Linked DNA regions of Oryctolagus cuniculus. The protein of the gene in region 2 purifies or fractionates together with the protein of the main gene of each other region. This does not show direct contact. Links are inferred from orthologs where the notes say so. Each region holds a gene or a part of one and is shown on either strand. Other genes may lie near its edges. The genes, in order: NR2C2, JAZF1 and BRD8.

What was found.
Region 1: the proteins of JAZF1 (region 2) and NR2C2 purify together in Homo sapiens (affinity purification with mass spectrometry; 4 studies listed by BioGRID and IntAct, with this or other methods). This does not show direct contact. The link is inferred for Oryctolagus cuniculus from reciprocal best matches to the Homo sapiens genes JAZF1 and NR2C2.
Region 3: the proteins of JAZF1 (region 2) and BRD8 purify together in Homo sapiens (affinity purification with mass spectrometry; 3 studies listed by BioGRID and IntAct, with this or other methods). This does not show direct contact. The link is inferred for Oryctolagus cuniculus from reciprocal best matches to the Homo sapiens genes JAZF1 and BRD8.

What each region holds. Positions count from the first base shown.
Region 1 is NC_091441.1:113,808,924-113,813,019, forward strand, and holds the start of NR2C2 (nuclear receptor subfamily 2 group C member 2), read left to right. Parts: upstream 1-1,177; 5' UTR 1,178-1,316; intron 1,317-4,096. UniProt on the Homo sapiens protein: Orphan nuclear receptor that can act as a repressor or activator of transcription.
Region 2 is NC_091447.1:19,742,494-19,746,603, forward strand, and holds the start of JAZF1 (juxtaposed with another zinc finger protein 1), read right to left. Parts: upstream 2,871-4,110; 5' UTR 2,443-2,870; coding exon 2,328-2,442; intron 1-2,327. UniProt on the Homo sapiens protein: Acts as a transcriptional corepressor of orphan nuclear receptor NR2C2. Inhibits expression of the gluconeogenesis enzyme PCK2 through inhibition of NR2C2 activity.
Region 3 is NC_091437.1:25,975,984-25,979,624, forward strand, and holds part of BRD8 (bromodomain-containing protein 8), read right to left. Parts: coding exon 3,599-3,641; intron 3,401-3,598; coding exon 3,354-3,400; intron 2,599-3,353; coding exon 2,384-2,598; intron 1,130-2,383; coding exon 1,037-1,129; intron 850-1,036; coding exon 781-849; intron 253-780; coding exon 75-252; intron 1-74. UniProt on the Homo sapiens protein: May act as a coactivator during transcriptional activation by hormone-activated nuclear receptors (NR). Isoform 2 stimulates transcriptional activation by AR/DHTR, ESR1/NR3A1, RXRA/NR2B1 and THRB/ERBA2.

The DNA.
Region 1 (4,096 bases), on a different chromosome or scaffold from region 2:
AACATTTCTTCAAAGTGCACGTTTCCAAGTTTCTCAGAGTACTGTCACCTCGGGCTCACGGCCTACACAACGGTGAAAATCTTCCAGAGAGAGGAGCCTTTCCGGCCTCAGTGTCTGTGGTTCCCCTAACACTACACAAACGCAGCTCTTTTGCCCACTTTGAAAGGTGACAACAAGGAGAGAAGGCCAACAGCTGCGTTTTGAACAGTTCCTATCCAACCATCATTATAAGCTTACGGACAAAATCCCCAACGCTGGGCGGACCATGCTGATAAAAACGCCATATGGGAACTGCTAAGAAAACAAGTTAACCCATCAGTCTAAGTATTTCTTCCCAGTAAGAGACACGCAGAGGGAGAAACCCGTTAGCACAGAATCTGCGGCCTACAACGCCGGGCGACGAGGCGCGCGCAGCCCGGCCCAGAGGGTGCTGCAGCTCCCAGGCAAGTCGCCACCGGGGAAAACCTGGGGGCTCCGCGGGCCCCGGGAGGCCCGGGGGGCAGCCTTCTCGCTCGGACCTGCTGTCCGCACACCGAGGCGGCCCCCGAGCTCCAACTCCGACTCGGCCCGGGCCTTTCCGCACCGTACCCGACACCGCTCCCTTGCACCTTCGAAGCCCCAACAGGGAGGCCCACACCCGCCGCCGACCTCGGGCGCTCTGCGGCGAGGGCCCCGCTCCTTCCCTCACCGGGGCGCGGCGAGCTCCGCGGAGGCCGTCCCGGGCGAGCAGGCCCCGCCCCGCCGCGCGCGGCTCGCGGTCCCGCGTGGGGCGGGCCTGCCCCCGAGCAGCGGCGCGCGGCGTCCGCGGGCTCCGCGGGCCGGGGGCCGGGAGCCGCCACCCAGGGCCCGGCGGCCGAGGCGCGGCCCGCAGCCCGCAGCCCGCGGGCCGGATGGCCCGAGCGCCGGCCGCGGCGTTCCGGTGCGCGCGCGCGCCTCAGCCAATCGCGTGCTCGCCCGCCCCCCGCCGCCGCGGCGAGGCTGGCGCTGGGAAGAGGAAGAAGAACATTCGCCCTCCTCCTCCCAGCGCGCGGGCGGCGGCGGCGGCGGCACCGGGGTCACGAACTCTGACCTTTCACTGACAAAAACAATAACAAACCCCTCCTTCCCCGCGACCCCGGCGGCGCCCCCGGGCCCGCCCCCGCCTCCACCTCGGCGTCGCCTCCCGCCCGCGGCCCCCGCGAGCCCGCGGCCCCCGGGGCTCCCGCCATCCGCCGACTCCGGGAGCCCGGCCTCGCCGCGCCCTGCCCTCCGCGCCGGGGGCCGCCCGCCGCCGACACGGGACCTGCTTCCAGGCCGCTGTGGCGCCAAATCCTGAGGTAACACCGAAAAGGGGGTCGGGGCGGGCTCGGGCCGGCGGCGGCGGAGGGGGCGGGCCTGGCGCGCGGACATGGAGGCGCCGCGGCGGCGGCTGAACCCGACCCTTTTACCTTTGCCACGGGGCGGCGGCGGCGGCGCCGGGCGCTTTGCATAGTGGGCCGGGCCGCTCCCCTCCCCTCCCCGCCCGCGGCCGGGCGAAGCGAGAGGGCTCCCCCTGACCGGCCCGGCCGGCGCGAGGGTGGGGGCGGAGGGGGAATGGCCGCGGCCCCGCCTCACAGTTGGCCCTCCGCCAGCGCCGCCATTTTGTTCTCGATAGAGACAGCTCCGGCTGGGCCGGCCTCCCCTCCTCCTCCTCTTTATCCTCCTCGACTTCCTTGCAGTCCCTCCTTCCCTCGTTCCCCGGCCGCTCGCCCCGCCGCTTCCCGCCTGCAGTTGGCGGCCGCCCCGGCCCAACCGCCGTGTTTTCTGAAGGGGAGGGCGGAGGAAGAGGAGGAAGGCGAGTGCAGGGCGCGACCTCGTGAGCGACGTCTGCGCCGGCCAATTGGTGCCCAGATAGGAGGGCCGGGAGCCCCGTGGCGCCGCCCCCGGGCCGCTGCTGATTGGCTCGGGCGGGAGGGGGCGGCCCCCCGGCGGCGCGGGAGACCTGGCCGGGGCGCGGCGTGAGGCCGGGGCGGCGGGGGCCGGGCCGGGGGCGGGGCGCAGGGGGCGCGGCCTGAGTGAGGGGCTGGGCGCCGGCGTGGGCGAGGGGGCGGTTTCGCTGGGCCTGCACCTAGCGCCTAATGGATGGCGGCGAACAATCATTTTTAAGCCTTTGAAGCTTTGGGAATCCACTGCGCGATCTCTTGTCAAAGAGCGTTTTGGAACTCGGACGCCATCCCAGGCTCTTACCCGGATTTTCAGCTTGACCCTGGGCGAATCTCTCTTTCCGAGGCCCTCCGTTTCGTAGCCTGTAAAATGAGGATGGTGGGCGTTCTTGCCAGGGCGGACCTCCCTTCGCAGTATTGTTTAAGGGACTCGACTCAGAAAATGGAGTCCAGGCCGCTTCTCGAGCCGCACCGTGATGTAAAAATGGTGTTCCTGTTAAAATGCGGTGTGGAGCCGCCAGGGGTGCGGAGCGTAAGGGCTTGAGAACGCGGTTCCCAGGTGATTGTCTGCTCGTTCGTTTATTACAGACGCATTCACCTAGTTTTAGGCGCTGGAGATGCCTCCAGACAGCAGCTGGACGACGGTCCTGCCCCCCTGGTGTTGGGGACTGAGGGCGTGAACCGTGATGAAGGGAAAGTGGGTGATGTGCTCCTGAGGCCCGGGGGCCGACTTGGCTGGGATGCTCAGGGGAGGACTCGTGTGGGAAGCAGTGGAGACCCCGGGGCAAGCGGTGGATGCGGGTTGTGGCCGGAGAGTGTTTGGAACTGTTCGCTGCCCTTGCTGTCATCCCACTCTGCCTCCTGGCTAATGTCTGTGAAATGTGACAAAGGTAATGCAGCCCAGATCTGCGATTTAATCATTAAAAAGAAGACGTTCCAGGAAAATACAGCCATCAAGTGAATGGCTGGTGTCAGAAAGCCACTATTTCCAGGTGGAAGTCCTTTGTATCCATCTTCAATTCTGAGCCCCACTGATAGCCCAGGCACTATGCGCTGCGCCCGGAATGTAAAGGTGACTGAGACACTGATCCTCAAACTTGTGTCAGTGTGACTCCACACCTAGGCGTTCTGCTCCTTTCCGTGCCCCCACCTTCCGTACTGATACAGATCTGTGCACATACATGCACACCTAAAATGTTTAAAGGGGAAGTTCAGTAATGGTGTAATTAACCTAACAGCTCCAACATTTGCTAGCAGTGTGATTTAGGGTAAGTTCTCTAACCTTCTTGAACCTTGTTATCCTTGTTTGTGCAGTAATAAAACCTTTCTTCTACAGTTGAGGATTAAATAAGTTAATGTAAATAAGTGCCTGGCACATAGTAAATACTCAGTAAGTAGTTGGAATTACTGTCATTATGAAGTACTAGTTGTCAGCTGCAGATTTTGAACTTGTTAAATGGAAGAAATTGTAGGCAGGGTGGTATGGGGGCAAAAACAGGGTTATGTCATTGGATTCTGCCTTTAACGCTTTTCAGTCATTCACTTGGCGTCCAGACCAAAAATTTATTTAGAAAACAAAGCAGTGGAACAGAAGAGCATTAACCAAGAGTAGGGTGCTTTTCATAACTTTTTTTTAAAGGCATTACGTTATTCAAGTCTTGCTGCAACCCCTGTGATGGTAAAGGCCCTCTTCCTGCTCCATATTCAGAAACCCTCCCAGCACTGGTCTTTATTTTGCTAGCCCTGTATCCCTAGCTCCCTGTGCGCTGGACACTCTGGCCCAACTAACCTCCATGTCAGTGTGGCTTACTCTCCACCACAGGCTCTTTCACACTGCGGTTCCCTGGCCCTAAAATATTGAAAACGCCAGCCACCTACCTGGGCCTGCAGATCTGGTCAGCATCCCTTCCCCTAAGGGAAGTGCCCCCTGATTCTCCCTGCCAGTCCACGTCAGGTTTCTTTAGGTTATATTTGTTTCTCTATAACCCTCTCTGACTTAGTAAGTACCTGCTCTGTTATGTGTTTGATGACTGTCTTGTCCTCACCACACTGTAAGTTGTAGGAGAGCAGGAATCGTTTTTGCTCACTTTTGTGTATCCAGCACTTAGTAGAATGCCTGACACTATTTGTTGAGTGGATGAATTGTTGGTAATTTATGATAACTAAGTTGCTGTCCAAAATGGGTACCTTTTTAT
Region 2 (4,110 bases):
TCATAAAGTTTGCTGATTCAAACTATTTGGAGGTGTAGTCTTTGATAACCCTATCATACAGTTCTCCTAAGCCACAGCTATCATTATAAATTTAAGTTTCCCAATGTTTTCTCTATTAAAAGAAAAACACTAGCCCTTTGGGAGTGAGATACTAGTACTTAAAAGCCGAGTTTTAGAAAATTTACGGAACCCTTAACCCTCTTAAAAATTGCACAATAAAAAGACAATGTCTGCAAACTTAAAAAAAAAACCTCTTTTTGGTTTTAAATCATCTAACTGATGATGAACTAAATCCTTAAGAAGGATAACTGTTTTTGAAATATGTTAATAAATCTAATTTCTATTTTCTTTTAACCAGCTAGTCCAACCAGGCAGTCAATGAGGTAAAATTATTACTCAACTTACATAAACTATAGTTTATCCTGAAATAACTGTTAGTGAGAATGAATGGATATGCTATGACAGCTTTCTCCAACCTAGGAGATGTTTGTTTATACTTTTCAGGTACATTTATTTAATATATATTTATTTATACTTATTATTTTATTACTAGGTATAGGGGAAGGCTTGAACTCATAAAATTTCTACTGGAACTCTGCATTTTACTGGAGTTTTGGCTTTATTTTAAACCAGGCATCGTGAAAACGATTTATCCGTACAAGCCCTTTCAGTTATGACTATTCAATCATGATATGAATCAGCAAATTTGTTTCTCCATTAAACTGCTTCTAAGACTACCAGAACCTGCCTACCCCCACCGTCACACCTTACAGAGATAGAAGAACAATTACAGGGCCCTGCTTTAAACTTTGAAAGTTTCAACGCCTGGACAATTACTCATCAGAATTCTCTCTCGAAGAACCATCTTTACAGACATATTTCCTATTGCTGATGGCCCACCTAATCGCATTCAACGTTTATTAGGCACCCACTCTGTGCACAGACAGCATTATACTAAGCTATGGAACCTGGGACTCTGCCTCCTTTTATTCGTGCATAAATACACAGTGGTCGTGATTTACCCGCTCAACTTTGTAGAAACGTGAGCTGCATCCACATGCATGAATCTATGGCGTTCATTTGGACGTCTGGGGGCCATCACCGGTCCTCGGGATTTGACAGCCCCACGAGGCACCTCTGTGGCCCCTTCACCTTCCGGGCCTCGCAGGACAACTCCCAGGCGCTGGCCACACCTTCGCAGGTGGCAGGAACGCCAGGGCCACACCAACCCAACCCATCTCCCTTCGCAGCGGCTCGGGACAGAAACGTGTCAAGGTGTTCGAGGACTTGTTGGAAGGCCCCGGGGTCCCGGGCGTGCAGGGCGAGCAGCCGCCCGGCGGGGCGCCCCCACCACGCGTCCCCCGCGTCCGGGGCGCCGCGCAGGCCGCCGCCGATCCCCGGGCGCAGCCGGCGCACCTCGGGCCTAGCGCCATGGGAAGGGCAAACCGCAGAGCCGGGGCGCATCGAAAAGCCCGTTGGCCGGCCCCGGGGAGGGGGCCGCTCTCCAGCGAACGCAGCCGCAGGGGCCTCCGCGGCGACCCGGCCCCGCGGCGCTGGGCGCGGCCCGCGGGCACACCCGGAACCTCAGCCCGCAGCGCCCCGGCGTCCGCGCCAGGCCAGGGCAGGGGTGGGCGCCCTGCGGCCCCGCGACTCGGGACCCGGCCGGCACAGCTCTGCGGCCGCCCCGAGGCGAGGACGAGCGCCCGGTCCGCCCCCCGCCCGCAACACCACACCTAGCAACCGGCGCTGACAGGACGCAGTGGCGGCGGCGGTGGGAGGAGGAAGCGGAATGGCTGCCGCGGTGGAGCCACCCCCGCCCCCCCCCCCCCGCCCCGCTCCCACCTCCCGGCCGCTGCAGCCGCCGCCGAGCCCTGACAGCTCGAGCCGGGGCGGAAGCGGCAGGCGGCGTGCAGCGCCCGCCCCCCGGGCCAACTAACTCGGCGCCCCAGCCCCGCGCCGGCCGCCCGCCCGCCCGCCGCGCCCCGCGCGCCCTCCCCGGCGCCCGGCCCCGCCGCCGCCGCCGCCGCCGCCGCATCCCCGCCGCCGCGCACCCCGCGGCAGCCCTCGCGCACGCCCCGCCGGGTCTCCGGCCCGCCCGCGGCACCTCAGGGCGCCCGCCCCCTCCCCCACCCGCGCCTCCGCATCCCGCCGCCCCCGCCCCAGGACTCGCACACCCCTTCCCCGCCCCGCCGCCGCCGCCGCTACCACCGCCACCGCCACCGCCGCCGCCTCCCCCCTCCCGGCCAGCCCTGGCCATTCTGGGGCTTCTCGCCCCGGGCAGGAGTTTCCGCGCGCCCGGCACCCCCGCCCACCCCCGAGCCATTTACCGATGTGGTTGTCCTCGATGTGCTCGATGAGGTCGGCCAGGGTGGGGAAGTGGAGTCCGCAGCCCCCGAAGCGGCAGGTATTGGAGAAGAAGGAGGCGGCGGCGATGCCTGTCATGGTGCTACATCGAGAGCCCCCCTGGTGTCGGCTCTGCGAGCGCCGGGCGGGCGGGCTGAGGGAGGGAGGAGGCCGGGTGGGGTGAGGAGAGGAGGGGCTGGGGGAGGGGGAGAGAGGCGGGCAGAGGGGAGCGGAGAGGACGGGACGGAGGGAGAGGGGGCGAGAGCGATGGCAGGAGAGCGCCGAGCCACCGGGAGGCGGAGGGGAGCGGCGGCGGCGGCGGCGGCGGCGTCGGGAGCGGCGGGGGGAGGGGAGAGGCCGCGGCCGCTGGGAGGAGGGAGCCGGGCGCGCGGCCACAGCTGTGCGGCCCCGACCTCCGCCCGGGCCGCGGCCTCACCTGGCAGCGCCCGCCGCCGACTGTGCCGCGCCGGCCTGCGGGGCTCGGGCTGTCATATGTGCAGGCTGTCGGGAGCCCGGCTGCCCGTGGACGCGGCGCGCCCGAGACACACACACACGCACACACACGCACACACACCCAGCTGTTAATTACACCTCGTGCCCAGCTGGGAGCTAGCTCTCAGGGACCTGGGCTTGGGGCCACCTGTCTAGGTGCGACCCTGACAGTCACGGCGGGGGGGGACCCCGAGAAAGGTAATTGTGTGCACCTTATTCTTTAAACCTTCTTTAAAAAAAAGTCCGTATTCTCTGGAGGTTTGTACCGACTAATTGATTTTAATGAACCTTCCCTCTAGGCCAGAAGAAAATCTTAGCTTTATTTAAATTTCAAAATAGAGTGCTTGGTTGTCAAGTGTATTTGACTGGGTTTTACCTATGTACCAAGGCTGTCTGCCCCTTTGGATGAAAACAAGAGCTGAAATAATGTCATTATCCCCGACTCCGGCACCACACTGCGCCCACCACCCTGCCCCAAGTCCCGTGATTGAGCCATCGGAGTGCACGCAGGGTCAAGGGTCATGTTTGCGCCTCACTTACAGGTGAAGAGACTCCTCCAATCAAGACGCCAGTCTTGTGAACATTGAAACCCTGATGTTGACTGCTTAAGCCCTCGGCTGAATTTAATAGCTTCCCCGACACCAGCATTTTGCTAAGAAGCTGTTACCTTCTAGTCCCCACTGCCAGGTGCAGTCGAATTTTTTACCTGACAAATGTGTGTTCTCCAGTAGCACTGGTCCAGGTGCCTAAGAAACAAGGCACAACAGCAGCAGCTGATGATCCAACAGGTGCATTTTTTGATACATGCATTCTGAATATAGCACTTTGTCTGAGGATGGATTTCACTTACCCTCTGGTGAGAAGCATAGGGAAACAGGATCCCCCTCGCGAACCATGTATATATCTCCAGTGTTATATCTAATAAAGGAGTTGTTGAGGTTTTTCATGTGAGTGTTTGAATGAAGACACGGGTGGTAATGCTGTCCCTGCAGAGTTTCTCAGTCTGACCATGGCCATCAGCCACGGGGGCTGTTTCTTCACCCCCGGCATTTCCTCCTGTGGCCCAGCACGTGTGTCTTCCAGCTCACAAGGTGACAGACCGGCTCTACGATAGCAGTAGAGTCGGATGGGGCTGGGGCAAGTGTGTCATTGGCCTTCGGTTTGGTGCCAAGAACGGTTTCCTGGGCCCAAGTGAGGCTGGGGGTGGGGCCTTGGTGGGCCTGATAATGAGCCAGAGGCCCAGTTGGCAGGAGATGAGGGCCAAGGCCAGACAAG
Region 3 (3,641 bases), on a different chromosome or scaffold from region 2:
AATAAAAGCCACAGCACCTTTCCTTGAGAATTTTCACTTCATTCTTCCCAAAACACAAAGGATTCGTGAAGTACCTGGATCTGTTCCAATACATCTCGCTGCATCTCCACTGCCATGTGATAGACATCGTGGTCTGAGCTATTGTACATCACAGCATTCTGAAACATCAGCATAATGTCACGCTGAAATTCAGCTGTGCTGCGAATCAGTCCATTTTCAATGTTTTTCTTAATAGTTGATAAATCCATAGGCCTAAAAAAATGAAGAGGAGTAAAGAGCAGCAGAAGTGGGAAAAGGACTCACCTGATCTCTGAATAAATGATAAACATGATAATACATGATAAACTTTCTTACATATACCTTATTCCTTCATTATTAGCTGCTAGGACACAAATGCCAAGCCCCCACTCCAAAACATGCACTTAAGACAGAGAGAGAAATCTTGCATCCACTGGTTCACTCCACAATTGCCCACAACAGCTGGGGACAGCCCAGGCCAATGCCAGGAGCCAGGAACTCCACCCAGGTCTCCCACATGGATGGCAAGAGTCCAAGTACGTGGGCCATCATCCACTGCCTCCCAGGTGCATCAGCAGTAAGCTGGATTGGAAGCGGAAGAATGGGACTCAAACCAGCACTGCAATATGCGCGATACGGGTGTCTCAAGCAGCAGTTTAACAGACTATGCCACAACATCTACCTTTGTACTTAGATCTAAAGTAAAAATTCACTAAGACTGGACAATTTATAATTCAGGCAAGTCAGCAGAGCATGGCTTACCTCTGTACAATGCTGTGATAACCAGGTGCTATGTCATCTGTAACAGGCTGTAAGAAGACATTCGCATATCTGTCCGAAAATAATTAACATGCAATTACTAAACAGATGCACATGGGAAGGAACTTAGATCAAGTAGCTAAAGGTAGGTAGAGACACCACCAACAGTCCCACAGAAGCCTACTTAGACTGCTTTCTTTTCATCTACAAAGAGGAGGACCAGGAGGGAATGAACCTACTGATGGGTAAAGCCACTCACCTATGATTAGCTGCCGCTCTCCACACAAGCATGATGGCTTTCTTCCATATTTTCTGTGCCTGAATAGCTTCTTGATCCTCACTACAGACAGAACTGAAATAGACACACAGATCAGTAGGCAAGGTGAAAGAAAAAAAAGCCCTAATTATTTCATGTCAGTTATTTCTTCCAGGCCAAGAATAGGAAGATGAGAAAATAAGATTAAAGAAAAGGGGGCTGGCATGTGGCATAGCAGGTTAAGCTACCACCTGCAACACTGGCAACCATATGGGTGCCAGTTCGAGTCTTGGCTACTCCACTGCTGAGCCTGGTAATGCTCCAGGGAGGGAAAGCAGCAAATGGCCCAAGTACTTGGGCCCCTGCACCCATGTGGGAGACTGGGATGAAGTTACTGGCACCTGGATTCAGCCTGGCTCAGCCCCACCTGTTGCCACATTTGGGAAGTTAACCAGAGGATCAAAGATATCTCTCTCCCTCTATCACTCCGCCTTTCTTTTCTTTTCTTTTCTTTTCTTTTTTTTTTTTGACAGGCAGATTCGACAGTGAGAGAGAGAGAGAGACGGAGAAAAAGGTCTTCCTTTGCCGTTGGTTCACCCTCCAATGGCCGCCGCAGCCGGCGCACCGCACTGATCCAAAGCCAGGAGCCACGTGCTTCTCCTGGTCTCCCATGGGGTGCAGGGCCCAAGCACTTGGGCCATCCTCCACTGCACTCCCGGGCCACAGCAGAGAGCTGGCCTGGAAGAGGGGCAACCGGGACAGAATCCAGCACCCCGACCGGGACTAGAACCTGGTGTGCTGGCGCCGCAAGGCGGAGGATTAGCCTAGTGAGCTGCGGCGCTGGCCAAAAATCTTTTCTTTAGTCTTACTGTTTTTTTATTTTATTTTATTTTATTGATTTGAAAGGCGGAGTGGCCGGCGCTGCGGCTCACTAGGCTAATCCTCCGCCTTGCGGCGCCGGCACACCAGGTTCTAGTCCCAGTCGAGGCGCCGGATTCTGTCCCGGTTGCCCCTCTTCCAGGCCAGCTCTCTGCTGTGGCCAGGGAGTGCAGTGGAGGATGGCCCAAGTGCTTGGGCCCTGCACCCCATGGGAGACCAGGATAGGTACCTGGCTCCTGCCATCGGATCAGTGCAGTGCGCCGGCCACAGCACGCCGGCCGCGGCGGCCATTGGAGGGTGAACCAATGGCAAAAAGAAGACCTTTCTCTCTGTCTCTCTCTCCCACTGTCCACTCTGCCTGTCAAAAAAAAAATTAAAAAATAAAAATTAAAAAAGAAATAAAGGAAAGATTTTCTCCTACTTCTCACCTTGACTGCCTTGGACTCAAACAAAGAAATCTCTAATACTCACAACTGTGAAGAAGCAGGGCTGCTGGGGATGGAGTCGGCCAGTGTATGTGACTGCAGTGTAGCATTGTGTATGCTAAAGCCATCATCACTCTCGCTCACAGGGGGTTCATTATCCATTTCTGACAAATAGCCTTCTCCTTGATCTTCTTCCTTAGGCTCCTCTAGGCTGGCTGCTTCACTGACCCCATCTTCTTCCTCATCCTCACCTGGGGCATCCTTAGACACAGTGTGCTCCGGTCAACAAATGCACGTAAAGCTATCCAGCAAAGCATCATTAAACATGGTCTGTCTTTTGGGTTAGATCAACTCTAGAAATGGCCTCACACTTTGAGCCCTCTATCACTCATACTACCATCTACTTAGCAGACACTGACTAAATAAAGTAATCTAGAACCTGGACAAAGAATAAAATCCAGGATCTTTTTAAAAGGAAGAAAAAAAAAAAGCTACTTACTTAAGACTAAGCTAAGAGGCGTTCCTTCTTTCCCCTTGCTCTTGAGAGGAACTCTGACCCTGGGTACAAAGTTATCAAAAATAGTTTTTACTTCGTGTCTCATTTGATGGAGCAAGCTCACATCGCATTACTTCAAATCTTTTTTATTACTGCTCTAGTAACTCTAAAATAAAAACTTCAGATGATTCTCTTTGAATAGTCTAAAAAAATCTGATTTTCTATAGTTTCTTCCTGGCTCTAGTATTCCTATTGACTCCAAATCACTTGGGGTGCATCAGAGCTTCTTTGTATACTTCATGCCAAGAAAATAACCATGTAATGTTCAGATGGGTAGCACGTGCAGTAATTATATGTACTCCCATATGCCTGACTGTCCACTACAGCTTTTCCCCATGCAACTCCTTACCAGTCTCATCTCAGAGAATAAAGCTGTGAGTTTACTGAAATTCATTAAAAAAGGGAGTGCTATAGGGAAATCTATCACATGGCAAGAGGAATAAAGAAAAATCTGAAATACCTTTATCTGGCTTCCAAAAATAGCCCCTGATTCTTCTTTCAATGAGTCTGCAGAGGAGAGAAAGACTACCTGAAGATTTTTCCACCTTAGCCTTCCCCTACTATGGACCGTAATCCCCTGCAGCTCTCCTTTCCATGCTGACCTATTCTACTTCCTGTACTTGCCCACAACCCACAATCCCTTAGAAGCCAAAGCAAATGATTTCAAGTTAGTCACAGAGTACAGGTTTCCTGGTCTTTATTTACCTGACATTTCAAATTTGTGTTGAGTCTCTGTCTCTAAAGGATC